Struthio camelus: one gene and its partners. The protein of the gene in region 2 interacts with the protein of the main gene of each other region in a pairwise test. Links are inferred from orthologs where the notes say so. Each region holds a gene or a part of one and is shown on either strand. Other genes may lie near its edges.

Region 1 (9,744 bases), on a different chromosome or scaffold from region 2:
TTAGGGAATGCTTGCTGATACAGAGGTGCCAAGACGAGTAGTTTGAGTAGACTATTTTATGGAAATGAGAAACACTTCAAAATTCTAGACCTAAGGACATTCACACAAAACCATTGTAACCCTCCCCTTTAGATTTTATTTGAATGCCCCTTTTAAGCTCTGTTCTTTTTTTTCTCCAGGTCTTTTGAAATTCTTAGTATTTTGGCGAGCTTCTGAAAAAATATTAGTAGTATTTTCATACTGATTTGTCATCTCTAAAGTTTTGTGTGAAAAGCCTATGCTGAATGATATTGGTGGGGGAAAATGTAACCTCTTTAAGAGGTACTGGAATAGCCAAGTGCGTGCTTACAGAAATGGAAAACTTCTTCTTTCTTCCCTTTCAGATTATCTGTTGTGTCTGACACTTGCTCGTCTTAAGCACAACTAGCACAGCCATTTAAAAAACCCGAAGCACAACTATATGAAGCATGCTTGGTAGTTTTGTTATTAGTAGTATGAATGATAATATATAACATATACACACAGGATTTTTATATTAGGTGTTTTGATTTGGCACTATAAATAAAACAGATGCTGATCTTCTAATGACCTAGTGAATAGTCTTAAATTGTGTTGGCGACTCCCTGAGTGAAAACCACGTGGTTTTCAATAGTGATAATTTTGTTGCTTTATATGCAAAAGCTTTAAAGAAGGAAACGCTAATTACTGCCACCAGATACCAGTAGGACTAAAAAAAAAAAAAAAATCAGACGTTTTATTTGAATATGAATTGAATTATTCCTAGCTGCAGCCTTTAGACTGGGATGGTAATTATTACTTCCGAGAGGAATTCATGAATCTTTTAACATATTGGCCATAGCGAATATTTTGGCATTCTAAAATCCGCATCAATACCCTGTTCGCACTGAAATTTGCACGACTGGTGGTCTCAGTCTGCAAGTCTGGCTTGGTCTGCCTACCATTGTCCTCAGCCTTTCAAGCAGTTAAAATTTCAAGGAATTTTTGTTCAGTCTAAGCACTGTTAACTCTTGAGTTTGAGTGCGGGCTGTTCTTGATTTGGGACAGAACCAACCATTGAGCTGAGAGAGACTGAGAAATTGTTTCAGTTAACCTTAAGTGTATTAGATAAAACTGACTTAATCTGTTTTGCTTGGCATAGTGGTGATGGATGCCTGTGATAGGATTTCTCAGGCAACAGGTTAGATAAGGAGCTGTCAGTAAAGTTATTCACTCTGTGCGCAAACACATTCTCCTAAGATGTTAGCCTCTGGCTGAGGTGGTACAGGAGCCACTTCAGAGCACCATGTGGCCTGATACAAATCTAGAAGCAGCATCTCCTGATTATGGGAACCTCCCAGAAGGTGCTGCAGTGGATATTAGTGCTTGCCCCAAAGAGTTTGCTGACTGTATTCCATCCAAGTACCTGGGTAGGCTTAAATGTAAGCGCTCCACATTGCTATATAAGTTAGGTTTAACTTTGAGAAAAGGTAACGGAACTGAGACTTGATTTTCTTTTTTCATCCAGTTATTTGCAGCTTGCATTTGAGTTACTTTTTCTTGACAATGGGCTCAAGTTTCTGCAAGATATCTTTCTTCAGACACTGTAAAGTTGTTTTTTTCCAGATAGCATAAATACTATAGTTTTGTTTCTGAAAATGAATAATTGAGATCTGACACTTCAATAGTTTTGTAGGTGGTACTGATGTCCGAATTGAATGGATGAAAATGTGTATTTGCCTTTGCTGCCTAAGTGTTCAACTGATTGCTAAAACTTGTTTATTTGAAGTGTTTAGTGGAGCATCTTACAAAGAAATAGGAGAGGCTGAAAAGCATGGAGGAAGAAAGAGTCCTAATTCTAAAATATCCCATTAAAGTTGTTTTGCAAAATTAAAGGGGGCGTGGAAAACAGGACTGGATTCTTTTTATGGTATAAAGCCACAGAAGACATAACAAAGCTCCTTAATAGTCTCTCTTGAATTGGCTGAAGTAGACATGTCAGGATTAATGACTATACAAATCTCTAGATGTACTGTGTAGGTTGTTTGGTCAGGTGGTGGGATTATAAATAGGCAGGCTTACTGATGTCACCAGTAAAGGAAAGGAACAACAGTGAACTCACCATGCATACACTTACTCCATCCCCTCTACCTACGTATGCTATTGAAAGAAATTCACTTGATTTTGATGGAGAAGAGAAACCTGTCTTATCTTGGAGGTAAGCTGGAGAGTAAGTTTAATCCATTTTAGTTATTTCTCTTCCCTCTCTCATTGTTCAGATGGTCAGCAGAACTGGCTTCCAAGTAATGCTTATATTTTCTTGGGAACAACATACTGGCAACAATTTCATTTAATATATACAGATAAAACGACCCACAAAACTGTTCTGATTGAGGTAAATGGGAATCCTGGAAACATAGGTTGACGTAAAATGACAAATATTTTGCAAGACTGCGGATGACTGTCTTGATATTTACACAGTATTTCCTTGCTTATTTGATTTGAACTTGTCATAACTCCCGTTGTGAGGAAAAAGATCTAGCTGTAATTATATATCTTCAGCAGCACTTAAGTCTTTGCTGTTTTAGAGGAGGCAGAGTTCAGGGCTGGGACAGTACGTAAGTTGCTAGAACTTAAACGTAGGCCCATAAAAGGAAAAAGAATTAGTCTGTAGTCTTATTTTCAGAGAAAACAAATAATTCGGTCAAGGTACAAAAGCTTTTTTTAATTCCCTTTGAGCCACAAAAGATGAATGTGAATACAGACCTGTAAACTTATCTGTGTAGATGGACTGCTGGAATTTCAGTGGCTTACTTCTGAGTATAGAGGCTGGTCTACTTTTTGTTAGGTTGCAGATCGTAGCCTAGACGTTCAAGTGAGATTAGTTTAAAGGAAGAATATGTATTTCATGGAGACTCTAAGCCTTTTCTGACTGTCATTCATCTGATTTTGATCTCAAATTATGTTTGGAAGAAAAGCACTTGCTTAATGTAATAATTTGTAAAAATTCAATGCCTGAAGTGTTTTGATACAGCAGAGTCCTTACTGTGTATTCATTGCTTTATAATGTAAAGCACTTTTATTTATCATGGAACACATTAAAACGTTATGGTAATTTCTGAATAGATTTATTTATTTTTTCATATATTTTATATATGTGTATATCAAGATGCGCTTTGTTTACAGGAACATCGAAAGAATGTCAAGAAGTCTTGTTCAGTTAAACTTCTTGTAAGAGTCGTTATACTTCATGCATTGAATCACAGTGTTTGAAAAAAAGCAGCAGTGAAAAATACCGGGTGTAAACTTTTGATTGTAAAGCTGGAAAGGATGAGAAGGGGTGAATATAGTAGTCTAGCATAATAGAGCGAGTTATTTGCTAGCATGGTTGTATAGGAAAGTTTCTCTACGTTTCACAGAGCAGGCGGCTGCTGCTGCTGCTGATTATACTCCTTATAAAAGGTTAGTAGGAAATACGTTTCTCCCTTTCTTTTCCTAAAGAATTTTTTCCTCACTTTGTAGTTAACGGCAGAAGTCTCATTCCCTTTTTCGGAAAGCACAGAGGCTTTCTAGTGGTAGTTACGGGAAATCCAAAATAGCTTTGCTGTCATCCCACCGTGATGCAGGGAGCCAGCTTTCTTTGAAGTGAAATCCTCTTCTTGTCTGTTGGAAGAATCCAGTCAGAAATGGATCTAGGGGATTTCCAGTGTGCGGAAGAGAGTGGGGAAGGTGCAGCTGGGGGTGAATTTGGGGAGGGAATAGCAGCATTCGGTCAGGGACCTGCACCCCAGCCAATGAGAGAGTTTAAGTTGAAGTAGGACAAAGGGGAGGGAGGCTTCTGCTGTCAGCAGTGCCAAAGGTGCATCTGAAAGCTGCCAGGCGGCCTGCTGCTGCGAGAGAGCTGGGCTACAGGAGAGCTGCCTGTGCTTCGTACATGCATCAATGGTTATTCCCCCCTGCCACCATTAATAAGAGGTCAAAGACAGGCTTGGGTGCCGGTAGCAGCACTGATGTTTGAGGGGATGGTAAATGTTACCTTGTTCCTTAAGGTAAGAGGGTTTCCCACTTTGCTTCCTGAGGAAGACGCAGGGAGAGGATTGAGCGTTAAGGAAAAAGCTGTGGAAGATGAGCAGAAGAATCTGGTGGAAGGTTAGGGCTCAAAAGCGTTTGTTCGTTATTTTGCAAAGGATTTTAGCCCGAGATACTTGGTACTTCTGCTTGCAGAAGTAAAGCCGTGTTGGTCAGACTCAGGGAGAAATGTTCTAGCTTTGTGAATATTAACTAAATTGAAAAATGAAACTGCTAAGATGCTTCTGCAATTTCGTTTAAAGGAAAAAAAGCTTACTTAGGTACAATTTCTTGGCCTGAACTTAACTTTTTTTCTTTCATTTTTCTTTCCTGTAATGAATTAGGCTTCCTTGTTTGCTTGCATGGCTGTCTACATAGTACCTCTCTCTCTTGCTCCTCTTCTGTCAGTTCCTCTCATGTCACTTACCAAATGTATAATTTTATAATTTTTGTTAAAGCTTCTTGCTCAAAGTAGAAAACTTCCTCTGCTTCCTAGTCCCTTCCTATGCCTATAATCATGTCTCCTCTTCATTTTAGCAAACCCTCCTGTTTCTTGGTCATGCAAACGTACAAAGGATTTTGAAGTTTTACCGAACTATAGGTAGCTAAAAGATAAAACAACTAAAAACAGTGACAGAATGGGGGAACGAGGGAAGGCTCGTTCGGAAGCCCTTTCTTTTCCGAACACTTGCCTGAAAAGTAGAAATTAGATGATATCACTGTGCTTAGCTCTGTTACCCTTCTTATATCTGAATCTTCAGCTGGGAAACTGGAGTGCTGAACGCAGTCTTCTACAGGGAGTAAAATTTATCTTCCCTGTTGTTACTGCAGAGCTCCCTAGTTACTGTCCTGCATTATTTTATCTGTATTACCCATCCACACCTACACCCACCTACCTACATTTGAGGCATGTGTTATATGTAAGAAAAAGGGAGAGGTCTGTTAGTCTTTTCTGCCTGCTGTAATACTGAGAGGCTCTGCTTTTCTTTTCCTTACCTTTCTCAACCTCCAAATCCATCCAGTGCCTGCCTCCAGTGTTACTTCTAAGGCATGATTTTAAACAGAAGAGAAAAGTGGCAGAAGAAAAGCTAAGATAAGCAGACAATTCTTAGCTGTATTGATGTTCAGAGCAGTAGCGATAAAAGCCATGAGTAGAGCCAGGTGTTTCATCTGCCAGCTTTGAAAAGTCAGTGATGTTATACCTGCTTTCATGACTGGGAGATAATAGCCAGAAGGGCAGATTTAGGTTTTGCTCTGTATGAGAGCCCTTAATTGAACTTTCCTCACTGGTCATGGGAGAAAAATATCTGTATGAACATGCTTTTATAGAAGTTCTTGAAAAAAGATTTGTGGGTTTGTTTCTAGTGGAGGTAACAGGTTTTCTTGAGTTTTAAGCATTTGTTAGATTTATTAGTGTATCAAAGGTTAAGCTCCCCCTTTCAGTTCAAGCTGCTCTTTGTTTTCTTTTCCTGTTTATTCAGCCAGTTATATATTGCTTAATCACTGTTACAGATTTACTATTTTCTCTTCCCTACTCTCCCTCGGTTCTGTCAGGCTGTTTTCACGACTGTAGGTATAATAAAGGCTAAGTGAGTCATATGAAGTTTTAATAATTTTGAATGTCATTCAAGTTCTTTATAATTTCTCTTATTAGTAAATTTAGGTTATTTTCTGCACTTGATACCTTGTGAAAGGAGTGCTAACAGATGCAAGTATCTGCACTACAAAGGTATATTGCACATGACATGCCAAGTTTGTAATTTTATGTTAGCCCTATTTACTTTAGAAGTCAGAGTTTTTAGGCTCCTAGAAGTAAGGTTGTTGGAACTAATTTTTTCCACTCTTCTGTCTTTTTTTTTTCTTTTAGAAATGAGAAAAAAGCTTATTTTGGGCCAACAGAATGCGATAGAAAGGAATGTTTGTATCAGAACCTGTTTCTCTAATCTTTTAATAGTAATAATAAACTTTATGCTAATTCATAGCATAAAGTATATTTTTATTCTCTGTTGCAGGCTAGGATTACGAGCTCTTGGCTAACTTCCTAGCAGCAAGGCAATTCTGGCAATTAGAGTGGAGCTAATTGTTTTGTTGGATGGTGTAAGGCAACACTAAGTCAGTAGCTATCTGTTGCTGAAGAGCTGGGTAGTCGTTCACGGTTTAAATGAACTTGAAAAAGTCATTGTAACTTGCAAGTGTGATTTGGCTTTTAAGGGCAAAGATTGACTTTTGTTTTTCTAGAAAAGGTTTAAATTTGTACTGGAGTTAGGCTACATAAATTTATACTGGACTTGCTGCCCTTTAATGCTACGAGAGCCATGAATGAAAACATGACCGTACCATATAGATTTGCAGCTACTTTGTCTCTGAATCTCCCCTTTTTCCTTGTAAGAGAAGAAATCATAGCATGAATTATGCCTTGAATACAGTCTCTTCTGTTTCCAAGACTGCCACTGCCTTGAGGACAGATAATCAGACAGGCAAGTGTCTGTTCCAAATGGTCTGGAGGAAACTAAGGGATTCATTTGTTGCTTTCTTGCTTTTAGTGTGAACCAGACGTCCGAAGATTCCATTAAGCTTTCACCTTCCTGTCATGGTTACGGTCCCGGTTTTGTGATTTATTTCTCTCTAGGAAAAAACTTTTTTTCTTCTTCCTCTCTTCATCCAATTGATCGGAAAAAACTTTTCTGTAGCAAGGGATTTGAAAACATGTCTTGATTCCAGGGATGCCTCCTTTTCTTGCTCTAATTTATTTATGGAAGGAGAGTGGTAAACAGATAACTTCCATTTTTTGCTTTCATTATAGCAGTCGTCTGCATATAGGCACAGATGGGAGAACATCTGCAGAGGATCTGTTTTTGCTGGAATCTCACTGAGTAAACCCATAGAGATAATCTTCAAAGATCAGTTCATTAATCATATCACTTGTAGCCTAATTACTGAAAGTCAGCTGCCAAACACTTTTTTGTTACAGGAGAACCATTTACCATAGTCCCTCATTTCTAGTACCATCTTATATATTATACTGTATGTAAAAAAAAAAAAAAAAAAAAAAAAAAAAAGGCAGTATTAATTTGAAGTATCGCTCTCCTGCCAGCCTGGGAATCTGTAGAGAAGTACGCTATGATATACCTCAGTGTCACAGGAGATTGAGCGATCGTTGTCATGTTTCTCCCTCCACTTGGAAACTGCAGTTAGAAGTATGCTTCTGTACTGTTTTTGGCAGCTGTTGAGCCACCTACTAGATACCCTATCTATACAATGTAACTTCAGAATCTTCCCCAAACAGTTAAGCTGATGAGTTTTCAGTAATCTGAGTGCTCATATTTACCTATGGAACAGATACAGCAAATATGTTTCCTTTATATTGTCCTACACACCTATCGTAAACCTATCCTAAGGATGGACAGTACTTGACTCTCCTTGCTCCAGGCCTTGGTCTTATGGTGCTTTTACAGTAGAAGAAATTAGATAGAGACTGTGTATCAAACAGTCATTTATTAATCTAAAGTTGAAAGAGGGTGGGAGGAAGTGTTTCCACTTTTGAAACTTCTGATTATGGTCTGTTAATTATTTAAAAAATAAAACTGGAAGTCTTCTAATGCAAAGAGCATAAGGTCTTTAAACATGCAGAACCAGTTTTAGCGTTCTGAAGTATCTTTTTTCTCATGTACCAGAAATTGTCCAGTCCTTAGGTTTGTGATTAAGAAAACTATAGTGTTTTAAGATGAATATGGGCAATGTTTTACAGCATTAGAGAAGGAAGTATCTTACTGCTGGGGAGTCTCTTTAGCTCTTGTGTTTAGACAGTTATATAACATATTCTTTAACCATGTAGATGATGTAAACTACCCCCTTTTCTGTTTTACTTTGTCTTGACTTTTTGAGTGACAAGTAACTTAATGGTTTCATGTGGCTATATGGTATTCATATGGCAGTGAACTGTTACTAGGCTTGTATCAGGCATGAACTGCATTAATATTTAATAACTTCTAGTTCTTTTTCTGGTTCTCGTAGGTTTTGAGCTTTGGGAGTGGAAAGTGCATGCCTTCAGACCTCTTCCTTTGGAGAGGTGCTGATTTGAGAGACGTTCCCAGAAAGTTTGACAACAAAAGACAGTGTTGTAGCCATTCGGGCACTTCTCTTGCTGAGATTCTTGACAAACAGTGCTAGAACTGAAAGCAAATGCTGAGCGAGCCATTGAAGACTACCTTCTGCATTTACCTTTAATTTCATTGCATAATAAAAGTTCAGAGAGATTCTTGTCTGAGAAGGGATGAGCAAAGAACATATACACATACAGCCATAGATCTAAGTGCAGCTAAAATAGATGTTGGAATAATGATGGAAATAGGCACGTGTTCATTCATGTCATATAAACAGGTATGTTAAAGCTGGGAGCAGGAGTGATGTTTTTAACGTCTGCCATTCTGTGATATGACATGAGATGTCTGGGCTCTTCGGTTGAATCCTCTTTACAGCAGACGTACAATGACAAGGAAAAGGCTGTTTCTTCCCATACGTTTGCAGTGTTCTGGGGATTTTTGGTTTTGCCTTGTGTTTTAAGGCTATGGTTTATTTCAGGCTTTGTCCTTGATCGCCTTGCAGGTTGTTGTGGTTTGTGTTCCCAGTTTATCTGATCCTGTTCCTGTGTTCAGCTGTTCATTTGTCTTCATCACTTAATTCAAGATAGACACACAGTTGGCTCAGCCAGGGGGCAGTAACTTTACCTGAAGAAAGGGCATGTGTGCCTTCTCAAGTGGCAGCCATTTACCTCGATCCAGTGCATGGGCTTCTGCTATAAACCCTAGGCTCCCCTCTGGGTAGTTTTCGCGAGTTACCTCACTCTGTCTTTGTGCCCACCTCAAGGTGGGAACTCTGGCTGTTCCTGAGGAGCAAGGTCTACGTACTGACTTTTAGGCCTAGGAGTTAGCCCTGATAGCCTCCTATGCAGAGCAAGTCATCAAAGTTCAAGGAAATGTCTTGGTCATTCCTCTGTTACTTAGTGTGCATTTCCTGCTATGGAGATGGTCGTTGTATGAATTGTGTTTTGGAGCAGCTTTAGGACAAAACAACACTGAACACCCAGAGCTGACACACATGTAGCTAGTATATCAAGAAAAGCCACGAATTCCAGAGTTTTCAGGCTAAAAGAGAAATATTTCATATGCAATAGGTATGTCGGATGCTATTGTTAGTACTCAGATTAAGAACAATAAAAATGAAAATTGAACTACATTTCACTAAAAGAAAACAAAAACGAATAATCTGTACTTATATGACAGGTGAAGCTGACATCTCATTTCCATAGCCATTCTTAAAAAAAAGAAGAAGCTATGCATTACCCTGAAATATGTAATTTCTATAAAAGTTGTAAAGGCTTTATTTTTTGAGTGACTTTCCCTTTGCCATACCAGAGGAAGCACAATTAGCTAATACTCTTGCACTGCTCCTAAACCTTTCCCTTAATATTTGATCTTGAGTATGTGCTGCAGTGATGCTGTGAAACCATAATCCCCAAATAGGGAACTGAAGAAACAGTGGGAAAGTTGGTGCTTTCATTGGCTTTGCTTTGTGTATGAGACAATCTGTAATTTTAAAGATTAGGATTGGGTTGAGAATGGTTGTGGGGGAAATTAGCGGCTTACATATTTTTTTAATATCTGTTGCCCAGAACTGATA
Region 2 (9,744 bases):
CTGGCTCGATCTGAGCTGCGTTTGGTGGGGAAGGAGACTGGGCAAAGAGCTGGAGGGAGTCAAAGCCGGGGGTAGGAAGCACAGGGATGGGGTGGAAGGACTGTAGGTGGGGGGGCGAGGGGTGAAGCCAGGGCTGCAACTGCAAAAGGAGGGATTTCAGTGATGGGGGTGAGGATCTCAGCTGGGTAGTGGGAGAGTGACGAGAGGGAAAGCACAAACCCTCCCTCCCCCCCTCCCTTTACAGCTGGGGAAACTGAGGCACAAACCTGTGAGTGAGGCAGCACCACAGACGAAGCGTCCCCTGCCCCTGGCACCCCCTCAGAAGCACTGGGGGGGCCTGAAGGTTGTGCACACCCCTGCCCTCCCTGGCATTGGGGGACAACGCATCCTGCCTGTGGGGTGCAAACCAATGCCATACTGCCTAGTCTTTGCGTGGCAGCCGTGCTGGGGACCTAAGCATCCTGCATCCTCATCCCCATCCCTGCAAGGGATCCCGGCATCCTGCATTCCCATCCCTGTCTGTGCAGTGGGCACAGGCATCCTGCATCCCTATCCCCATCCCTGCAAGGGAACCAGGCATCCTGCATTCCCATCACCATCCCTGCAAGGGATCCCGGCATCCTGCATCCCCATCCCCATCCGAGCAGTGGGCACAGGCATCCTGCATCCTCATCCCCATCCCTGCAAGGGATCCAGGCATCCTGCATCCCCATCCCTGTCTGTGCAGGGGGCACAGGCATCCTGCATCCCCATCACCATCCCTGCAAGGAACCCAGGTGTCTCGTGCTGCTTTCCAGGCTGCCCCGGCCAAGCCCCACAGGGGACGGTGCTTACCTGGGGCAGGCGGGTGCCCGGCAGATGGGGGTCCCGGCGTGGGCCCGCTGTGGGGCGCCGGGCACGGCGGGGCGGCCGCGCTGCGCTGCGCGCCGGCCGTGCAGCAGCGCCGTGCACGGGCCCGGGCACGCGCCCTGCCTGCAGCCTGCCCGTTGTCATGGCAACGGGGATGGAGCCGCTGCCTGCGCCGGTTGCAAACCTCATCCTGGCGGGGGGATAGTCCCCCCCCACCGTCTCCTGCCCCCAGCCCAGGGTCCCCCAGGCAGCGAGCCGGGCATGCGCTTGCTGCGTCCTGCACCCGGCCCTGGGTGCTGCTGTGGGTGCTGCCTCGCTGTCGGGCTCTGCAAGCCCCTTCCAGCTCCACCAAGGCCCTGCTGGAGACCCTCGCTAAGGCATGGTCCTAGTGTACCCGGTCTTGGGGTCGAGGTGCTCAGCACCCACCGACCAGGGCTGCCGCACTGCCTGCTGCAGCTTTCCCTTGCATTTAGGCTGCAAAGGGGCTGCTTTCTGCCCCAGGCTGCACTGCCAGGAGCCTCTCGGTAGAGCTGAATTAGGATCCCGAGGGTCCCGGCGCTCTGTGTGTCGGCCCGGGGGGTCCCAGCCCCTCGTGCACGGGCAGCAGAGCCCGCCGGGACTCAGCCGTGTGCCCCCCTGCTCTGAGTTGCTCTAATGCGCCGTTTCGGCATCATCCCCCGGCTCGACGGCGATGTGAGGGGAATTAAAAGGCAGCAGGAGACAAGAGCTTCGAGCTGAGTAATAGAAGCCGCCTTCAGCGGCTGCACTAATGAGGCTGCCTGGCTGCCCCGCGCCGCGGCCGCCCGGATCGGGTTGCCCAGAGGACGCAAGCCGGGTCCCGCGCGGCTCCACTGCCAGCTCGTCTTTCCTCTAACGAGCACTTTTGACTTGCTAATGAAGCTCGGTGGGGGCCCCCCCCCGGCCTCGGCACTCCCCAGCCCGGCTCCGAGCATCCACCGGGAGCCGGGGCCGGCTCGCTCCGGGTGCTTCACCCCAGCGCCTCCCTGGCGCCCTGCGCTGTCTGCGGCGGCGGACGGGCTCTGCGGGCGCCTGGCGGGGTTCGGGCGAGGTGGCGAATCCAGCCCGCTGAATCGGGCTCCTCGCCCCCCTTGCAGCCGCTGTGCCCTGGGGTTGGTTTTGCCACCCGGCACGTTTGGCAGAAGGAGCCACCTACCAGACCTGGCAAAGGCGGAGCAGAGACTTTTTGGGAAGAAGATTTGACGCCCCGACGGGCGATTCGTCTGCTGATGCCCCGAGCGGCGGGCAGCGCGCCGCAGGCCGCCGAGCCGGCACAGGGCCGGAGCGGGGACGTCCCGGCGGGCCGAGGGCAGCCCCCTGCCTTGCGGCTGCCTCTCTCGGTTGGCTGCAGCGCTTCGGCGTTGCAAAATCACCTCGGCTACAATTCCTGCAAAACGCCGGGTGATTTTCGCCTTTTGGTGCTTCAGGCCGTTAGACTCTCCGGCAAGAAAGCGGAGACGGGAGACTAATTGGGCAGCGGCGCCCTGACAAACGCCTCGGGGAGCTCTGCAGTCCTTGGGTGGCGCGAGCTGGCAGGTCTCAGCCGCCGCTCTCTGCACCGCCGCCTGCTGCGCGGGGGCATCAGGACGCGGAGGGGCGACCGCTCTGAGCATCGGGGCTCGGACGAGCTGAGCCACATCTCTTTGCCTGGCAGGCTCGCTCGCAGCTGGGGAGCCGCGTCTGCCCGGCTGCCGAGCTGGCGCTGGGCTCACGGGACGAGAGCCAGCCGCTTCTCCCCCAAAACCGCTTCCCCGACACGCTTTTCCCCCGGCTTTCACTATCCCACGGGTTACTATTTCCCCTCCTGCAAAATCAGCGCCCGCGTGGGAAGCAACAACCGACGCCGGCAGGAAACGAGGCCTGATTTAGGGGGCCGCTCGGCGGTCTACGATGACGCTTCTGCCAGCAGCGCGGCAAGGCGCTTCCCTCCCAGAGGAGCGCAGCAGAAGCGTCGCGGCGGCCGGAGGGGCCGAGAGGGGTCCCCGGCCGGCCCCCAGCCTTCCCGCTGCCGAGCTTCGCCCCCGCCGGCCGTGGGAAGCCAGGCGCGGGGCTATTTTGCATCTCTAATTAGCGGCGGCAGCGGCGGGCGAGCGCAGTCCTGCAGAAAGCGAGCCATTGTGCAGGGCCCCCCCCGCCGGCGCGGCGCAGGTGCCGCCACAAACCCGGCTCCCACCCAAACAATCCCCTTTTTGTCCGCTAACCGCCGGCCCCGGGGGTATCGTCGGAGCCCTTCCGGGGAAGGGGCAGGGGCCGCGCCACAAAGGCTCCATTTTCCCCTGGGAAAGCAGCTCGCGGCGCAGGGCGGAGAGGCGCCGAGGTATCGCCCCGGCCGGCCGGGCCCCGGCGGCACCTCGCTGTCCCCCGGCGCCTGCAGAGCTGCAGCAGCCACCCGGCTCGCTCCTAGGCCTCGCACAAACGTCGGGCGGGCCGGCCGCCTGGCGAGGGGACAAAGTCTCCCCGCGCGGGGCCAGCGCTGTTGGCAACGCCGCTGCCCCGGCAGGAGGAGCGGGAAGGACCTGCTCCGGGCTCCGCAGCAGAGGGACCGTCCTCGTGCTCGGGCGCGGGACCGACGGCCCCCGGGGGCTGCAGGGCCAGGCCGGCAGCAGCATCGCCGGGATCCCTGCAGCCGCTCGGAGCCGCCGGCGCTCGAGCTCCGAGGGTAGCGCGGAGGGTCGAGGCGGCTCGGAGAGGCGGCGGGAAGCGCCGGCTCTAATCCGTTTAGCAAAGCGCTTGCTTGGCCGTTCCCAAGGCGGGTGCAAGAGTGGTGCCGCGGGGCTGGCGGCTGCGGTGGGAATGGGGGGACGAGCCCGGCAAGAGGAGCCGTTTCGCCCCGGGGGGTGGCCGCAGTTAGGGCAGCATCTCCGGCTCTGCCCCCGCGACGTTTTGGCTGCCTCCCCCTGCCTCCCGGCTGTGCAAAGCGACAGCAAAGCCCCGACGGAGATGCCACCAGGCTGCCGGCCCCGCGCGCCCCGGCTGCACCAGCCTCCGGCTCGGCTGCCCCTCCGCAGCGCCGGGGCCCCCCGAAACCGGCCGGCGCGAGCCCTGCGCCCCTCGGGGCGTCCCCAGCAGCACGTGCGCACGGACCCCCTCCACCCCCTCCTGCGGGTGCAAAGCGGCCAGGAAGGATGGTGAAGCTCCCCCAGACCTTCTCATCTCGGCTCTCCGAGCCCCTCCGGAGCTCAGCCCCCGCCGCAGGTCGTCCCCTCTCGGAGACCCCGAGGAACCCCCCCACTCCCCCCCGGCGGCCCCCGCGGTGCTGGCCCAAGGCAGAGCCGTGCCGGGGCCGGGGCGCTGCCAGGGCCCTGCCGGAGGCTGGCACCCACCGGGGGGCCGGGGTCCCTCCGGGGGACGGATCAGCGTTTGGCCAACGTGTCCAGAGGGCGCTGGGGATGGGGGTTTGGGGCAGGGGGGCAGGATGCTGCGGCAGGCGACGCCGGAGAGGGATCAGGGAGGGGGCGCGAGGGGCGCGGGGGCTAGGCACGGCGGGGCACGCCGAGGGCTGGCGCTGCCCCCGCCGCGGGACCGCGAGGAGCCGGCTCGGCCCGCAGCAGCGCCTGGGAAGGGGGCCACGGCCCTTGGAAGGCCGCGCCGGGGTCCGGGCGCGGGACGCGGCGCTGCCCGCCGGCCGGGCGAGACGGCGCCGCCGGGGCGGCGGGGAGACGAGCGCAGCGGTCAGCTCGCTCGGCGCCGACGGCCACGACATCTGCGGGCCGTTCGGGCCCCGTTTTCGGCTTCCAGCTCTGTGTCATAGGTTCACGGAAAGCTTTAGGGACCCGGCTTCGGAGGGGGCCAGCTGGCGGGCTCCCAGCAGCGGGCCCTGCCCCCCGCCCCGGGGCCACCCGCTGCCTGCCGGCACCCCGGCCGCCCGTCGTCGCCTGCCCCGACCCCCCCGGGCGCCCGGGGACGGCGTGCCGGTACCTGCGCGGAGAGGCTGCGGGGACCATGGGCAGCGGCGAGGGGCGCCCACCGGGGTGGCCCGGGCGCCCGGGCAGCTGGCAGGCAAGGCCGGTTGGCTCCGTCTCGCTCCGGCTGGCGCTGCACATTGGAAGGAAGGTCACAGCAGATGGGGAGGAGGGGGGTAAAGATCAGCACGGAGATTAGAGAGGCATTTTTAGCCAGCCAATCGCCGCCCCGGCTCGGCGCAATGACTCCTTCGCAGCGCAAGGTGAAAACATTACTGCAGAAGCAGCAAGGAATAAGCCTGGAGCCCGGCTTGGCCTGGCCAGGCGGAGGCAGCTGTGGCGTCCCGCTGCCTATACCCCCCGGCTCGTCTCTCCTTCATTTCCTTGCTCTTTTTTTTTTTCCCCCCTTGCAAGCTTTTATTTGCAGCCTCCTTCCCTGCTCCTCTCCCTCTGCTCTCCTAGCCAGCCCCTGGCACCCCGGGGCTGATTTGGGGGGTCCCCGCACTGCAAAGCCCCGCGGGGTCCAGCCGGGGCAGTTTGCAGGGCACAGCAGCCCTCTCCCCGCTGCCGCCCGCGGGAGCCCGGCCCCGGCTCTGGCATTTCCATCTCCGAATCAGGCAGGAGGAGCGCCGGCGTGGGAGAGGAGGACGCCGCGGCGCCCCGGGGCGCCTGGACGCCGTCCCCGGCGGGCGGCCGTGCTTGGCCCACAGGGCAGCGCGGGCAGTGCCGGGGGCGAAGGCAGCAGGTCGCCCTAGGAGGGACGAGCCGCTTGCAGCGAGCGCAGGTGCACGGCGGCTCCGTGCCTGCATCGGGTACGAAAGCACTGTGTTTCGCCGGACCTGCTTCAAGGAAAAAAAAAGGAAGGTTTTTTTTTTTTCCTCCGAAGCGCAGCCAGCTGCTCTCAGCTCCTCCTAACGACAGAAGGGCCCCGAGCCCGGAGGTGCGCAGAGCAGGTTTCTCTCCAGCACGTGTTGGAGTCCAGGGAGGTTGCGCTCCTTGGAGCAAGGTGCAGGAAACAGCCAGTCTGGCACTGCCCAGCTTCTGGGTCAGCCTGTCCCAAGCGTTTGCGGGTCGCAAAAGCCGCGCGGCACCCAGCGGACGCACAGAGCCCGAATCGCAGTGTGAACGCGCCGACACCGTGGGGAGCTCTGCAGGCTCCTTGCAGCGGTGCCGGGAGCCCGCAGCAGGAGCCGGGAGGGAGGCAAGCGCTGTGCCCCGCTGCTTTCTGCTGCTCCGCGGGGTCTGATCAGCTCCATGTCAGCCCAAAGCGACAGGGAGGCAGGGGTCCGGCGGCACAACGGGGAGTGGGTAGACGTACATACACACGCAGATGGAAAGATAAAAGGCAAGCGTGCCCTGTGCTGCAACCAGTGCAGGACGGGAAGGAAAAGACCTTTTCCTTATTCCTGCCCCAGTCAAAAAATTACAGGGGCTGAGCCTTTCACGGAAAGGGCCTCGTCCCGTCCTGCTGAAGATGCGAAAGGACCAGAGAGGATAGAGAAGAGGATGCGGCGTCTCCACCCCGTCCCAGGGACGGCTCAGTGCCGGTGCAGAGGTTGCCGAGCTGGGCTGCGGGTGGCCCAGCTGCCCTCAGATCTCCTGGCTGGGGTAATCCGGGGTGCAAAAGGGTCTTTGCACGCCTTCAACAAGCCCCAAGCCCTTTGCTCGAGCACGTGAGCCAGGTCAGGGAGCAGCGGCAGCTCTCCTCGGCAGACCTGCGTGTGCGTCCCACGTTTTCCCCACACCTGCAAGACCCATCCTGCCCCCAGGATCCCAGCCAGGGCTTTACAGCCCGGCTCCAAAGGGCATCGCAGGTGTGTCGCTTCCTCCTCACCTTCGGCTCTTCCCTGCACCACCTGCAGGAAACAGCAGGGCTTATTGCAAGCGCAGGGCCACCGCAGGCCTTCCCGCAGCGATGCTGTGATGCAGTGCTAGGCACCATCCCGGGCTTGCCGGGACGGCAGTGGCTGTCCTGCAGTCAGAGCAGACAAGCAAGAGCTTGGAGATTCCCCAGGAGGTGTGCGCATCGGGTGCTCCCCTTGCCTGCCTTGCTCTCTCCTCCCTGTGAAAAGAGGCAACGCTCCGCTCCGCTCCGTCGGCTGTCTGTGCTCAGGAACACCTGCAGAGGGCTTGGGGATGCTCGCGCGGACAGCATCTCGCCTACGCTGAGGGGTGGTTTGCGATTCGCTGCGGCGCTGCCTTCCCTGCTAAAACCTATTCTTGCTGGCTTCCCCTCGCGGCTTCCCCGTCCCAGCGCTGCCCTTGTTCCTGCTGCCGTTTCGCTCCCAGGACCGATGGCAAAAGCAGCCGAGCCAACGCCGAGAGCGTCTGGAGACCCCGGCGCCGCGCCGGGCGGACGCGATAGGGATGTCTGCGTGCGGGGCAGGGGCGGCGGGGCAGGGACCCGCGGCCAGCGCCCTGGCCGGAGCGGGGCTGGCAACGCGCCCCCAGGACGCTAATCCCCGCCAGGGTGTGCAGGATGATCCCAGCAATCTGCCTCCACCGTGAGAAAAGGAGTCGGCACTGCAAATCCCATCAGGCCCAGACACGTGTGACCGCGGGGGTCCCCGTGGGCCAAGCTGAAGAAGGAAAAGGTGCCGCTTCTTTTCGGATGCCGCAGCAGAAACACGTAGCAGCATGCGGAGCTGCCACGCACCGTCGTTCCTCCCTGACCTGATTTAAAAACGGTGATTTGAGGGTTTTCCCAAACTCTTGAGATGTCAAAACGCTCTGCGGAGACCCACGGGCTGCATTTTACGGGGTCCAGCAGCCGCTGGGACGTGAAGCTTCGTGCTTGTTGCTTTCCGGGGCCGGGGTTGCCAGGGCTGGGAGAGCAGCGCCAGGCCCTGCGGGCGGCATCGCTAGCAGCCGCTGGGAAAGGGACCCTCGTGATGGCATTTCCCACGCACGGGCTGCTGCCGGGGGAAGGCGAGCGAGCCGCGACGCAGCTGGTCTCCAAGGCCCTTTCCGGGCCGGAGCTGCTCGGCGGGAAGGTCCTCGCCGCGAGGCAGCGCGCCGGCGTGCACCGTCTGGCGAGGCAGCAGCTGGCCGGTGCGAGGACCTGGGGGCAGCAGCCCCCCCCCAAGGCACGGGCTGTATTTCTTTACTTGCTCGATGAAATATTTAAAGGCTCCGTTAAATGAAGCCCTGCCTGGTTTTGCTGGGGAAGAGCTGTTTCTGTGCCGGGAGGCTCTTCGCTCGGGCACCCCGCGGAGGGGGATCAGAAAACTTCCCGCAGCCCTATATCCAGGGCAGGTTTTTGAGGAGGGAGATTTGGGAAGACGAAAAAGGGGGCAAGCCCCTGACCGCCCCGGCTGCCCCCTCGCGCCAGCGGGCTGTGGGGGATCCCCGGGTAAGGCGGCGGTGGAGAGACGGCGATCAGGATTTGGGGCGTTTGGCGCAGATTTGGAGGAGGGGGGAGCGGGGGCGGCTCGCCCACGCTGGCATCGCCCGCGAGCCTGCGTCCGTCCGGCCCTGGCGCGCCGGGCACGGCTCGTCATCCGGATAACAGCAGCTCCCTCTAGCGCTGCTGCCGGCCCCGGGTGGCCAGCCTGCGCGGGGACGCGCGCCCCGGGTTTCTCCAGCCGGCAGACCTGAGGGCAGCCGGGGCACCCGTGGCCTTGCCCGCTCCATGCACTGAGCGCCCCAGGCCTCTGCTGCCCAGCGTGCGGGGCCGAGCGGGGCCCTGCGAAGCGCAGAGGGGACGGACGTCCCCTCCCTCTGCCGGTGCCTGGCTCTGCTTCCTAGAGCAATAACGGGATAACGGGCCGGGATAACGAGCTGGGATAACGCGCTGCCTTCCTGCCAGCCACCTCCGCCCCTTCTCTGTCGCGGCGACCTGAGGCCTGGAGGCAGGCGGCCGCTCCGCTGCCCGGGGGCGACAAGCGCAGGCCGAGCCCAGGGCTTCGCCGCCGCCGCCGCCGCCGCGCTCCTCTCTCCTCGTTTCACGTGGAGGAAATCGGCGCACCCGTTATCGGGACGGGACGGCGGCTGGCGAAGCCGGGGCAGGCGGGGAACATCAGAAACGCCCTCCTGTGCCAACGCGCCCCCAGCTCTGCCCCCCCCCCGCCCCAAATGCACAAAACGCCGGTTTGGCCCCCAAAAGAGGAGTGCGGTTCGCTCCACGCGGGCTAGGCCTCGCGCCGTGCTGCCCTCTGGGCGTCAGGGGCGAAGGGAGGAAGGGCTGGGGAACGCGGGGGGATCGCGTGGGGCAGCGTGGCGGGGAGGGCCCGGGGGAGCAGGCGGCTCTCCGCGGCCAAACCGGCCCCGCGGGAAGGGGGCGCGTTTCCAAACAGGCACCGCCGCGGACACCCCGCTGCCCGGCGCGGCGGGGGCCTCGGCGCGCCTCCCTCAGGCACCGCCGCGGCCACCCGCCGCGCCGGGGGGGCCTTTCGGAGGCCGGAAGCCGGCGCTCTGCGCATGCGCCCTCCTTTCCGCTCTCGGGCCCGCCGCCGCCGCCACGGTGAGGCCGCGCTCCGGGCTCGCATCGGCCTCGGTTCGGCGCCATCCCGGGGCGGCGCTGCGGGGCCGCCGCTGGGCAGCGGTGGGACCGCCGCGGCCCGGCCCCCCACGGGCGTATTTCCGGGCTGGGGGGAGCCCAGGCCCCTGTCTGCGGGGCGGGAGCGGCTAGGCCGCAGGGGGGGGCCCCGGGGGGGACCGTTACCGGAGGGCCAGGCCTGGGCCGGGGCTCCGGGGCCTGGGCCGAGGCGGCTGCTGGGGCGGCACCCGGGTCCTGCCTGGTCCAGCCGGGGCGGGCGGGCGGCTGCTGCTGCTCGGTAGCTCCGTGCCGCTGCCAGCACCGGGAGCTCTGCCGCTTTCCTCTCCGCGGGAGCGGGGAGGAGCTGCCGGGCCCGGAGCGGCAGGAAGCGTCGCCGGGGTTGAGGTGTCGCCAGCCGGGGGTGCAGTCGCTGTGGGGTTGCGCTGGGCCCTGTGCGAAGCGGGTGTGCTGCCCGGCGGCCCCGTGCCCGTCCCTGAC
Region 3 (9,744 bases), on a different chromosome or scaffold from region 2:
CATAGGTAAAGCATCTGGTGTCATGCCTGGAGAACACAAACACCCCTCCCAGGTAGGTGGGGGTGCTCAGGTCCCCAGAACAAGTTCTGGGTGAGTTCAGATTTCTGTACAATGTCCAGCTTTTAACTGCTTTGCACCTTGTTTTAGCAAACCATCTAGACTCCTTCTGTAATCAGCAGAGAAGGGCAGATGCATGCAGCAAGCAGATCACTCCTTCCCAAGAACTGCAATTAGGAGTTGCCCTCTAGGGGAACCCATGTCAGAGGTGAAGCCTGCAAAACTAGCTTGGACTGCACAAGTAATATTTAGACAGCAAAAATTACAGCAGGAAAGATCACCTCACCTACCTATTCAGGCAAAGAAAAGAGAACAGAGTTGAAGCCATCAGATCCTCTGCAATAAAGTATCCTCCCACACATACTCCCCTGCAACTACAAAGGGCTGCAAAGCCACTCTAGAGCCGAGGCAGGTTTTTCACTGCACATTTCTGCACAAAGAGACCAGCGCAGCTATTCCGACTGCATATCGAATGAAACCTGCTTTGCTGAGAATTACCGACAGCCCCCACCACCTTGCTCTGCACCTCCTGAAAGATTAAGTCTGAAGCCTGAATTCTGGCACTTGGGAGAGGAGAGGCACAGAAAGCCCAGTCGTGCCAAGACTTGCAGGTGTGAATGGGGCAGAATTTATCTCCCGTAAAGTCTGGAAGCAGAGTGAGCATCCGTTTGCTGACAAAGCTTATGATCAGAAAAATGAAACCTGAATTTCACATGTCAGTCTGACTGACAGCGTTATAACATGGCCTTTGCTGGCTATTCCAGAGCCACCTTTGGAAAAGAAGGGGCCTCTCTGCACCAGTCGGGTCACACAGAAAAGCTTTCAGTGGCACGTCAATGACAACAGACGTTTGTGTAAGTGAGAATATGGCTCAAAATTCATCCATTTACAGTACCTCCTTCTGTACCATATAGTCCTTTAGTACTTCTGCAAAACAAACAGTAAAACTGGTTTAACAGCAGCACCAGCTTTGAGTTTCCCAACGTGCTTTATAAAACTAAAAATCGCCAAAACAAAACAAGCTAGGAAACGGTTTTAACTAAATGCCAAGTACAGCAAGAAGAAAATCAATTCATGGGAGCAAGTAATAGCTTTTTTTTCCCTACTGTCTTTATGCTTAAGACTAAAATAGCCAAGATATATTTAATGCATGGAAGGACTGCAGCTATATATAATGCTTGAAATAGGGGCCTCCAATAGGTCTCATCAGCAGCAATAATTGTTTACCAGACACAAAAATCCTCTAGGTGTTAAACGAACACCAGGGAGTAGCATTCAAGTGACATGGAGAAAAGATTGTCCTAGGGTACCGCAAGCCAGGCGCACAGCTGTGAAATTGCTCTGGCAGACACTGTCACAGCTAATAACGTGATCCTTTCAAACACAGAGAGTCCTCATGGCATTTGTAATTTGTTAAAATTCCCAATCTGTCACTTCTTTCTGAGAACAGAAGGAGAAAACAAGCCTATACTCTGCTTGTCTGTGCATACCTCTGTTCACCAGCACTTTTTACATGTTTTACAGGATTTCTATTAAAACACTGGGCAGGTATTAAAGGGCAAGCAAAGGGAAGAATGATTTCTGTTGCTTGCATGCTTATAGCTATCTAAGGGGCAGTAGCGCAGGCATGCCAGGGAAAACAACATTTGTGAGATTCCAAACCAGCACATTCAGAAATACAGCAATTGCGATTCAGGTGGAAAGATAAACCATTGGCACCATTTAAATGAACTCTGTGTTTCTGAAATGCCAGCTGTAAAAAACTGCTGATATTTAATTTCGTTAGATATACTGCATCTGGTGTTTATGGCTTAGTGCTGTTGCCAGAGAGCCCCAGGAGCTTCGGTCTGGGAGCCAAGCCAGTGTCTACCAACTTAGTTGGACTACTGTGGATACACAAAGATCCAATATTCCTCTGATTTAAAGCTTTCAGGCAGATTTTCAGTGACTTTTGTTTTATTTATAGTTAGCATGTGCCGAGAGAAATAAAACAGTCACTTAATATGCTGCACAACTATGGGTTTATTTCCTCCAGTTTCTCATTTCAGTAGCTTATTTTGAAGCCTGGAGAACTGGAAATCTGTCTATTTCTACCTTAAGCACTCATAGGTGGATAGACACAAAGGAATTCAGTAACGGAATGCCTTTCCGTTAAAAAATAAAAAGCCAATATACAACTTTATTATAAAACTTGGATACTTACACTATTTATACAGATGGCCATCATAACTGTTATAGTCACACACGGCTAAGCGTTTTTCTTTCTGTCACCCCTTATAGCATATATTTATAAGCTTCTGTTATATGAAGCTTTGATTTATCAATGCAGATACCCTGGTGTTCTGATACTTAAAGGGTTTCAGATTATTTTCTGCTTGAAACTGCTCCCTAAAAAACCCTAAAAAAAAAAATCAGAGGAATTCTGTTCATTACATTGACAATAAATGCACGACTCAGCCTGAAGAAAATTAAGCAGGATTAGCAAAACAAAAAGCATATTCCGTCTTCAGGGAGTATTTTAAGCGTCTGAGCGGACACCAAAACACGAAATAAAAATGTGCACAATTTTATTTTGCGGGGACGTGTGGAATGCTCGGCCATCTGCTATAAACGTGAGGCTGCCAAATATCACAGATTCACACCTTGAGTTTGGAAATTGAGTTCACATGGCAAATCCAGGCATTTCTTGTGGTATCTGCATTCCATCAGCCTTTCCTTTACCTGCTACTCAGTTTCACACTTCACTGACTGTTAAGCTGGATTGCTTCACAGTTTTGAAAGTGCAGAGCCCAATTTTACCAAGTTCCATTGACTGCCATAGAGCTGCTCACAGGACACCCGACTGTATGCTTCATAGGTTTTCAGAATGGGGGAACGTAAGAAAATCAGTTTGGGAGATCAGGGCCCCTGCTCAAAGCCACTGGCAACAGGAAAGGAACAACACTGTGCATTCTAGGAAAAATTCCTCCTTCCATTCTGAAAAAGTAATCAAGAGGAAAATCCTTAAAGGCTGAACTTTAACAGGCCACCAGCTTATACTATGAAAAACCCTGCAACTTCCATGAAGATCTTCCTTAATCAAAACCCAACCACGCTTTTAATTCATATACACCTGTTCCTTGGGTGTAATTAACTGAGAATATGGGAATAGTGCACCCCTAATCGGAAGGGTGTGAAATAGATTAGGACCAAGGCAACAACAATAAAACAGGGTTTCAGGCAACTTGATTAGAAATCTTGCACGGATTCATCATCTTGCCACTGTCTATAGCACAACTTTACAGCAAGAGGTGCAAGATGATGCAAAAAGCACTCAAAAATCATTTGTTGAGTCTGGTAGGAAACCTGTTTCTAGCACCTACTGGCAACTGGCAAAATAACAAATACAGATTGCATTTCTTAAACGTTCAGCAACCTACCTAACACTTTTTTTCCACGTTGCCGTAAATGTTAAAGAGAGCTTTAAACCCTTCTAGTACTGTACTTGGTAGTCAGCTAATTAGCAGGCACACAGGCACAGATTTTAGTCATTGAAACTATGGTATACCTCCAGTGCCTTCACAGCTCTGAGCTTTGGGGTCCATGTCTGGCTGGGACACAAGACTGTTGGTATGTCTACTCCATCAAATAGGCCAGCTCACTCAGGCACCATTGTCAGTATGCCTACAATAAGACAGAGCTCAAAGTCAGATACAGTCAGGTCAAAGGAGCTGGACAAATACTCATTTTGCCTTTGCTAGATTATTTCCCTGCAGAGCTGTCCTAGCAGCAAACCTGAGCTAGCTAGCTCAAGGCTAGTCCAGGCAGCCTTGCTGAGCTGTGGTCAGTGCTGTACAGACAGAGCTACATTATCTTTTTTCTTTTGTTATTTTGTAAGGAATATCTTACATTTAATAGCATATCTGCCTTCTTGTGCCCAGGACCTGTTTTAAGTTTTGCATCCCTTTCTGTAGGATTCAACAGAAACTGCATACAGCATTGCACAGGATTAAGCTTCTGTTTTGTCTTATCTGTAGCATCACCTACCTTTTAAGCTTCATTTTCTAGGAGTACTTCCACAGCAAAGCCTGCTGCCTTCCTTGCCTGTTAGGGGACATGCACAGCATCCCTTGAAATTCTGGGATCCTTCCAGAATTCTGGATTCCTCGAGACCCTTCTCCCCTCCAACCTGCGGCAATTATTTAAAAATCACTTCACCTCTTCTGAAGGACCCAAGTTTTTTATGTAGGTCCCTGCTGGCATACATCTGTTTGGGGAAGCTCTTTGAAAAGTATCTGTTGTGAATACTACATCATTCATCAGCACTAAACCAAACGTATTTCTCAGAACTCATGTTTTTCATCTGTCTCTGGGGTTCTCCCAGTGGAATAGGGCAAAATTAAATTTAAACTAGGCTTTAAATTATTTAGTCAGAGATAATTGAGCTTGGAAAGTCATACTAGAGAATGAGCACCCAGGGAAGTAGCTAAATATGATTTTTGGAAGGAGAAGGGAAGGGAGTCGCCACGTCACATTAGGTACATAAAAATCACAAAAGTTCAAAAGTTATCAGCCCTCGTAGGAAAGGGCACAAGTTGCTCTTTTGTTCTGGTCAGGCAGAACATAATTTCCTCCAGGCTTACAAAACGCATCCTTTCTCCTCAGAAGGAGCCAGGCCCTAAGTGTTCTGAAAAATCCTGGTGACAGATTACAGCATTATTAGGGTTCAGGCACAAAGTACCTATACGTTCAAAATAAAACAAGAGCTTTTCTTACTGCCCAGGAAGACTTCCTATAAGGCATAAAAGCTAACTGGAATTAAAAGGCTCTGCTGATATCACCACTACTTTTAACTCAGCTGTGCCACAAACAGGTTTCTTCGAGGAAAGGATATTTTCTAGCTGAGTTTTACCTCGATCTATCATAAAACCAACGCTGTATGATAGCCACTCAAAACAATACCCACTCTGAGGAATTAAATAGCTCCAACAATGTCCACCCTTACTCCACTTCTCCCTCCCTAGTTATCACTGAACACTACGGATCCCCTGAATTTACCCTCATAGAGATGGAAAACAGCCCTGCTCAGGAGGGAAGCAACCGCCTGCTGAAACAACCTTTTGTAACCGTGATTTAAAAAAAAAAAAACAAATTAATAATAATAATAACGAGCCGTGCCCAAACAAACTAGAAAAAACATATCCACCCACACGCCAGCGCCTCCCCCCGCCGAGCGCCGTCCTGAGGCGGCCAACGGACGCGCCGCCGGCCCCACTGCGCCTGCGCGCCGCCCCGTCGCCACAGTAACGGCGGGCCGCGGCGCCGCAGCATGTCGCTGCCCGAGCCCCTGAGGAGGCGGCTCGGCTCCTTTAGCCGCACTGTCTTTATCGACAGCAGCCGCCGCAGCGGCCCGCAGTCCCCGGGCAACAGCGCAGGTAAGGGCGGTGGCGGCTGGCCGGGCGTCGTGCCAGCGACAGACATGGCGGCGGGGGACAGCGCCCGCCGAGGGAACGGTGCCGAGGCGCGCGGGGGAGGGGAGGGGCTTGCCAGGAATAAAGATGGCGGCACCAGCCGACGCCTAGAGGCCGTTGGGGCGGGGCCGCGCGCCCACGGCCGTTACGCGGTGTCTCCGCTCTCCTGAGGGAGGGCCGGCGCGGGCCTGGCGGTCTCTACGTGGTCTCTGGTTTCGCTGTCGATGATGTAGTGTAACTTAATGGGTGTTTTCTGGAGTAAAACAACAGCGGCCGTAATCTTTCCCCCTGCACTTAACGTGCTTCAGTGGCGCAGGGTTAAGACTGGCTTCCCGGGCACTTAAAATATTAAATGCGCAACAGTCTGATTTAAAAGCAGCTCCGCACGACCCTCTGCACCCACCTTTACAGCTCAATAAGCGAGTCGGCATAAAATATGACCGATAAAAGACACCAATACTACACACTGTACACTCCACCTATACGAAATTAAAACGTAGTAATGATTTTATAGAGAACCTTGAGAACAAATAAAAGACGGGAGCTATTGTTTTAAGCCCAATAGTCCTACGCAGAGTTAGGACACCCACCGGACGCTCAGAGCAGAAGGAGACGAACCAAGCAAAAACCCAGACCTTCAACCTTCTTCTTGCAGCTCTTACCAATAAGGACCGATAGCTTCGTCACCTTGCTAGTGAAACCTGCAGGATGATAAAATAAAGCAAAAAGCTATTATTATTTCAAGAGAACCCATTTTGTTTGTGTCGTTAGACCGGTCTATCTATAGTGCTAGCACTTCCTCGTTTAGCCAGATCAATTCCTAATTACAGCTACCAAGCACCACTGAGACGCTTTTCTTAACTCCAGGAATAGCTTCTTATTTTAATCATTTATTTTACCTTTTCTTTCTTGAAAACTCCTACATGAATGTCCAGCCCATTGAAACCAATGGTAAATAGACCATTAACCTCTTTGAGGTCCTGTTTTTGAATCTTAAGTCTACACATACATACTTTAGTGAGTTGCCCTGGTGCCAAGGGGCCACTGGGTTACTGTCTGGCATTTCCACATATTTTTACAATCCCAAAAAGTAAACAGTAGTTCGATTTAGGTGTAGAAAGATGAATTAGACTTGGCTTATATTGCTAAACATTCATCCAAAACACAGTCTTAAAACTTGAGAAGAAGTTACCAGTATGCATGCCTTGTCACTAAGACCTAAAAGTACCCAAAACATTCTCACTGGCTTTTTTTGAATAACATTACATTTTCATCTAATGGGACAGAAACACAGTTGGTTATAATTAGATAGTCTGATTTTTTGAAAGATAAAACAGTGTTTTAGAATTGCATCTCAGTGCCTCTACAATCCATGGTTAGTACCCTAGATCTGGTATTTAGGGATTCATTCATTAGAACAGCTGACAGTTCCTCGGACAAATTTAGGTAGACAGTAAAACTGCTTTGAGGTACCTATAGATTTTCATTCCATGCAGATGTAGGAGAGTGTTGATATTTAAAAATGGGATTATTAAAAATATTGGTTGTCTTGCACCTTCTGTTTCAGTATAGCAAATCCTCGCCCATCAAACCCTACCCTTAAGGTTTGTCCCAGTTCTGTCCCCAAATCCTCCTCCCTTCCCACCTAGCCCAGTAGCTACCATGAACACTTCTGCAACTGGCATAAAGACTTCTGGAACAGACTGTACCAGGCTGCATGTGGTGGAACGGGGAACAGGGATGACAGACTGAGATGGAACAAAGACAGGTATGAGAATGGTTGGAAGATATGACAAGAGATGGCATTATCAGAAGAGAGGTGGTTCTGAAGTCAAAGGTGAACAAAACATGGCTGATAATCTGAGTTTCAATTGAATATCACCATGGTGGCACGCTGGGGCACGGGACTTAGATACAAAACAGCAGGTCCAGAGCAGCAGCTCACAATGAAATCTTTCTAAACTTGCTCAGGTAGTACCAAGTGAAGATTTGTCTGCAAACTGCATTTAGGGAAAACGTGAGAAAAGAGACTGTTGGTAATTGAAGTAAATTGCATGCGACATCGGTTAACTAGACTGTGGCAATAAAACTTAGTCCATTAAAAACAAACAATTCTCTTGGGATGCCCTGGTAAGTTTTTCTTTGTTTGAGTTTAATCTTCTAAATCTATGGCTAAGTCCTAATTTTAGAATTTACAGCCTGCCTAGTGTTATGCAGTTCAATATTTTTTTCTTTGCATTGTGTCAACTTATCCTTTAAAGTCTGGAGAGACGGAAATAAGTTTGAGTTTGATACGTATGACGAACTGTTAGCTCCAAAGAAGTAAAAGAATTACTGTCATCTTGCAGTGTCACTGTGTATTCAAATGTCTATCTTAAATAAAGATTCAAAATGGAGAGTGGGCATTGCAAACCTGCTCTCTAGCAGCAAGTCTGTACCCAGGAGGGTCAGATACAAAACGAGAATAAGCCATAAGTGTATTCATTTAAACTTGGGACATTTTCTTAGAGAACAAAAATAAAATTGGCACTTACTATTTCTACAATGTCAGGATACACTACTACTTGAACAAAGCCTATCAATTTAGTTCAGAGACTGTTGATTAGCTGGTGGCTTATGATTTACTCCACAGTCAAACACTTGATTTGAATTTATAACTAAGGGATCAAAATTCTATATCCTGTGAACTGAAAGTTACATTAGATCCTGGGAAATGGTGTAACCCAAAATAGGGCAGAGTTTTTCCTCTGGGTCTCTGAAAATGCCATTCTTAATATTTAATTTACCTAAGATCAGTGCTAATGCCCTGCCTGAAGCTAAGATGGAGCAGTATCTTTCTGCCACACGTAGTGAAGGTACATCTGGAACAAACTAGAAGTGATAAAGACTTCTTTCTATCTACAGATAATGAAATCATTTCAAGTTTACCACTGCAGATGTCCCTCTATTTCAACGTTTATTTTTTCCCACTGTGGTGGCTCAGCACTGTTGTCATGCTCCAGCTGAAGGTGAGTCCAGAAGGAAAGTAACGGTTGACAGATTTAATACGTTTCTGATTGGACACCTCCTAGTACAGAGGTGGAGCTCATTGGAGTTAGAGCTTAGTAGGCTCGTGCGGGAATTGCTTGAAATTGGAGGTTCTGAGAGCATTTGAAAGCCAATACAACACTGTCAACTTACAGTGGCATTCAGTGTCTTCATTTAACCAAAGACAGCGCATTGTGAAACGGCATGGTAGAAACTTGTACTCTCTTCCTCCCTCTAGTATCCAGTCTTGTCAGATTACTACAAGTTCATTGTGGTCACAGTCATCATCCTAGCCTCTCTGATAGAGGTCATCCGGCTCTACCTAGGATACATGGGCAATCTCCAGGAGAAGGTATGTTACCTTACATCCATATTAATTTGTACAGGAGAACTTGGGGTTGAATATAAATAAAACGGTCTGTCAGTTCCTCTAAGAGATTTAAGGTGAGGAGATGGTTATTTCTGTCAGTTACAGTCTGCATCTTTCATCTCCCTGGCTTTTGCTTCCCTTAACTTTTGTGCATTCCAGAAAGTTTTCCCTCAGAAAGGAGACCTCCTGCCTACCAAAACTGTTTTGTCAGGAAAATAAGTATTGTTAAAAACACTGTATATGGAAACGTTAAACTACCTCACTTCACCATTTCACATTGTGTGCTGGCTTTTGAAAGATAAAAGTGTGGATTTTATCCACAAAGTTTTGTATTATTTTCTACTGCTTCTGCCAGTTTTTAGGTAACTAACTGATGTTTTCCTGTTGTAGGTCCCTGAGCTGGCTGGGTTTTGGCTCCTGAGTCTTCTCCTGCAGTTGCCTATAATTCTCTTCTTGCTGTTCAATGAAGGTCTGAAAATCCAGCCACTGGAACGAGCAGTCAATATCATCTTTGCTCTCTTCCTCACCTTCCAAGTCATTGCAGCTTTTCTCACCCTGAAAAAAATGGTAAACCAACTGGCTACTCACTTCCGCCTCAATGAGTTTGACCGGCTGGAGGAACACCCTGTACCTGATTTTTACAGCCTAGGAAAAGAAGAGAGTGCATTCCCCATGGCTGCTAGGGGCCCGTATTGAGGAGGTTCTCCCAATAAGTGTCGACTGGGGACCTGCAGTGAGGGCCTGAGAAGTTACCTGAGGAATGCCTCATGCTGCTGCAGCTCCATTTCCATTTTTTGAGTCGTTCTTGACCTTTCTATTTCAGAGACATTAAAAAAAAGA

The links.
Region 1: the proteins of PACSIN1 (region 2) and COBLL1 interact in binary tests that used the Homo sapiens proteins (3 or more experiments, as listed by UniProt). The link is inferred for Struthio camelus from reciprocal best matches to the Homo sapiens genes PACSIN1 and COBLL1.
Region 3: the proteins of PACSIN1 (region 2) and EHBP1 interact in a two-hybrid assay, tested with the Homo sapiens proteins (2 studies listed by BioGRID and IntAct). The link is inferred for Struthio camelus from reciprocal best matches to the Homo sapiens genes PACSIN1 and EHBP1.

What each region holds. Positions count from the first base shown.
Region 1 is NC_090947.1:25,499,446-25,509,189, forward strand, and holds the start of COBLL1 (cordon-bleu protein-like 1), read left to right. Parts: upstream 1-3,840; 5' UTR 3,841-4,026; coding exon 4,027-4,046; exon of another isoform or gene 4,047-4,146; intron 4,147-6,459; exon of another isoform or gene 6,460-6,542; intron 6,543-9,744.
Region 2 is NC_090965.1:5,557,048-5,566,791, forward strand, and holds the start of PACSIN1 (protein kinase C and casein kinase substrate in neurons protein 1), read right to left. Parts: upstream 4,932-9,744; 5' UTR 4,786-4,931; intron 925-4,785; exon of another isoform or gene 835-924; intron 1-834. UniProt on the Homo sapiens protein: Plays a role in the reorganization of the microtubule cytoskeleton via its interaction with MAPT; this decreases microtubule stability and inhibits MAPT-induced microtubule polymerization.
Region 3 is NC_090944.1:140,244,242-140,253,985, reverse strand, and holds the start of EHBP1 (EH domain-binding protein 1), read right to left. Parts: upstream 5,250-9,744; 5' UTR 5,095-5,249; intron 4,141-5,094; 5' UTR 4,084-4,140; intron 3,721-4,083; 5' UTR 3,605-3,720; intron 1-3,604. Other genes in the region: TMEM17 (transmembrane protein 17), read left to right, coding at 5,366-5,471, 8,412-8,515, 8,773-8,886, 9,295-9,600. UniProt on the Homo sapiens protein: May play a role in actin reorganization. Links clathrin-mediated endocytosis to the actin cytoskeleton. May act as Rab effector protein and play a role in vesicle trafficking.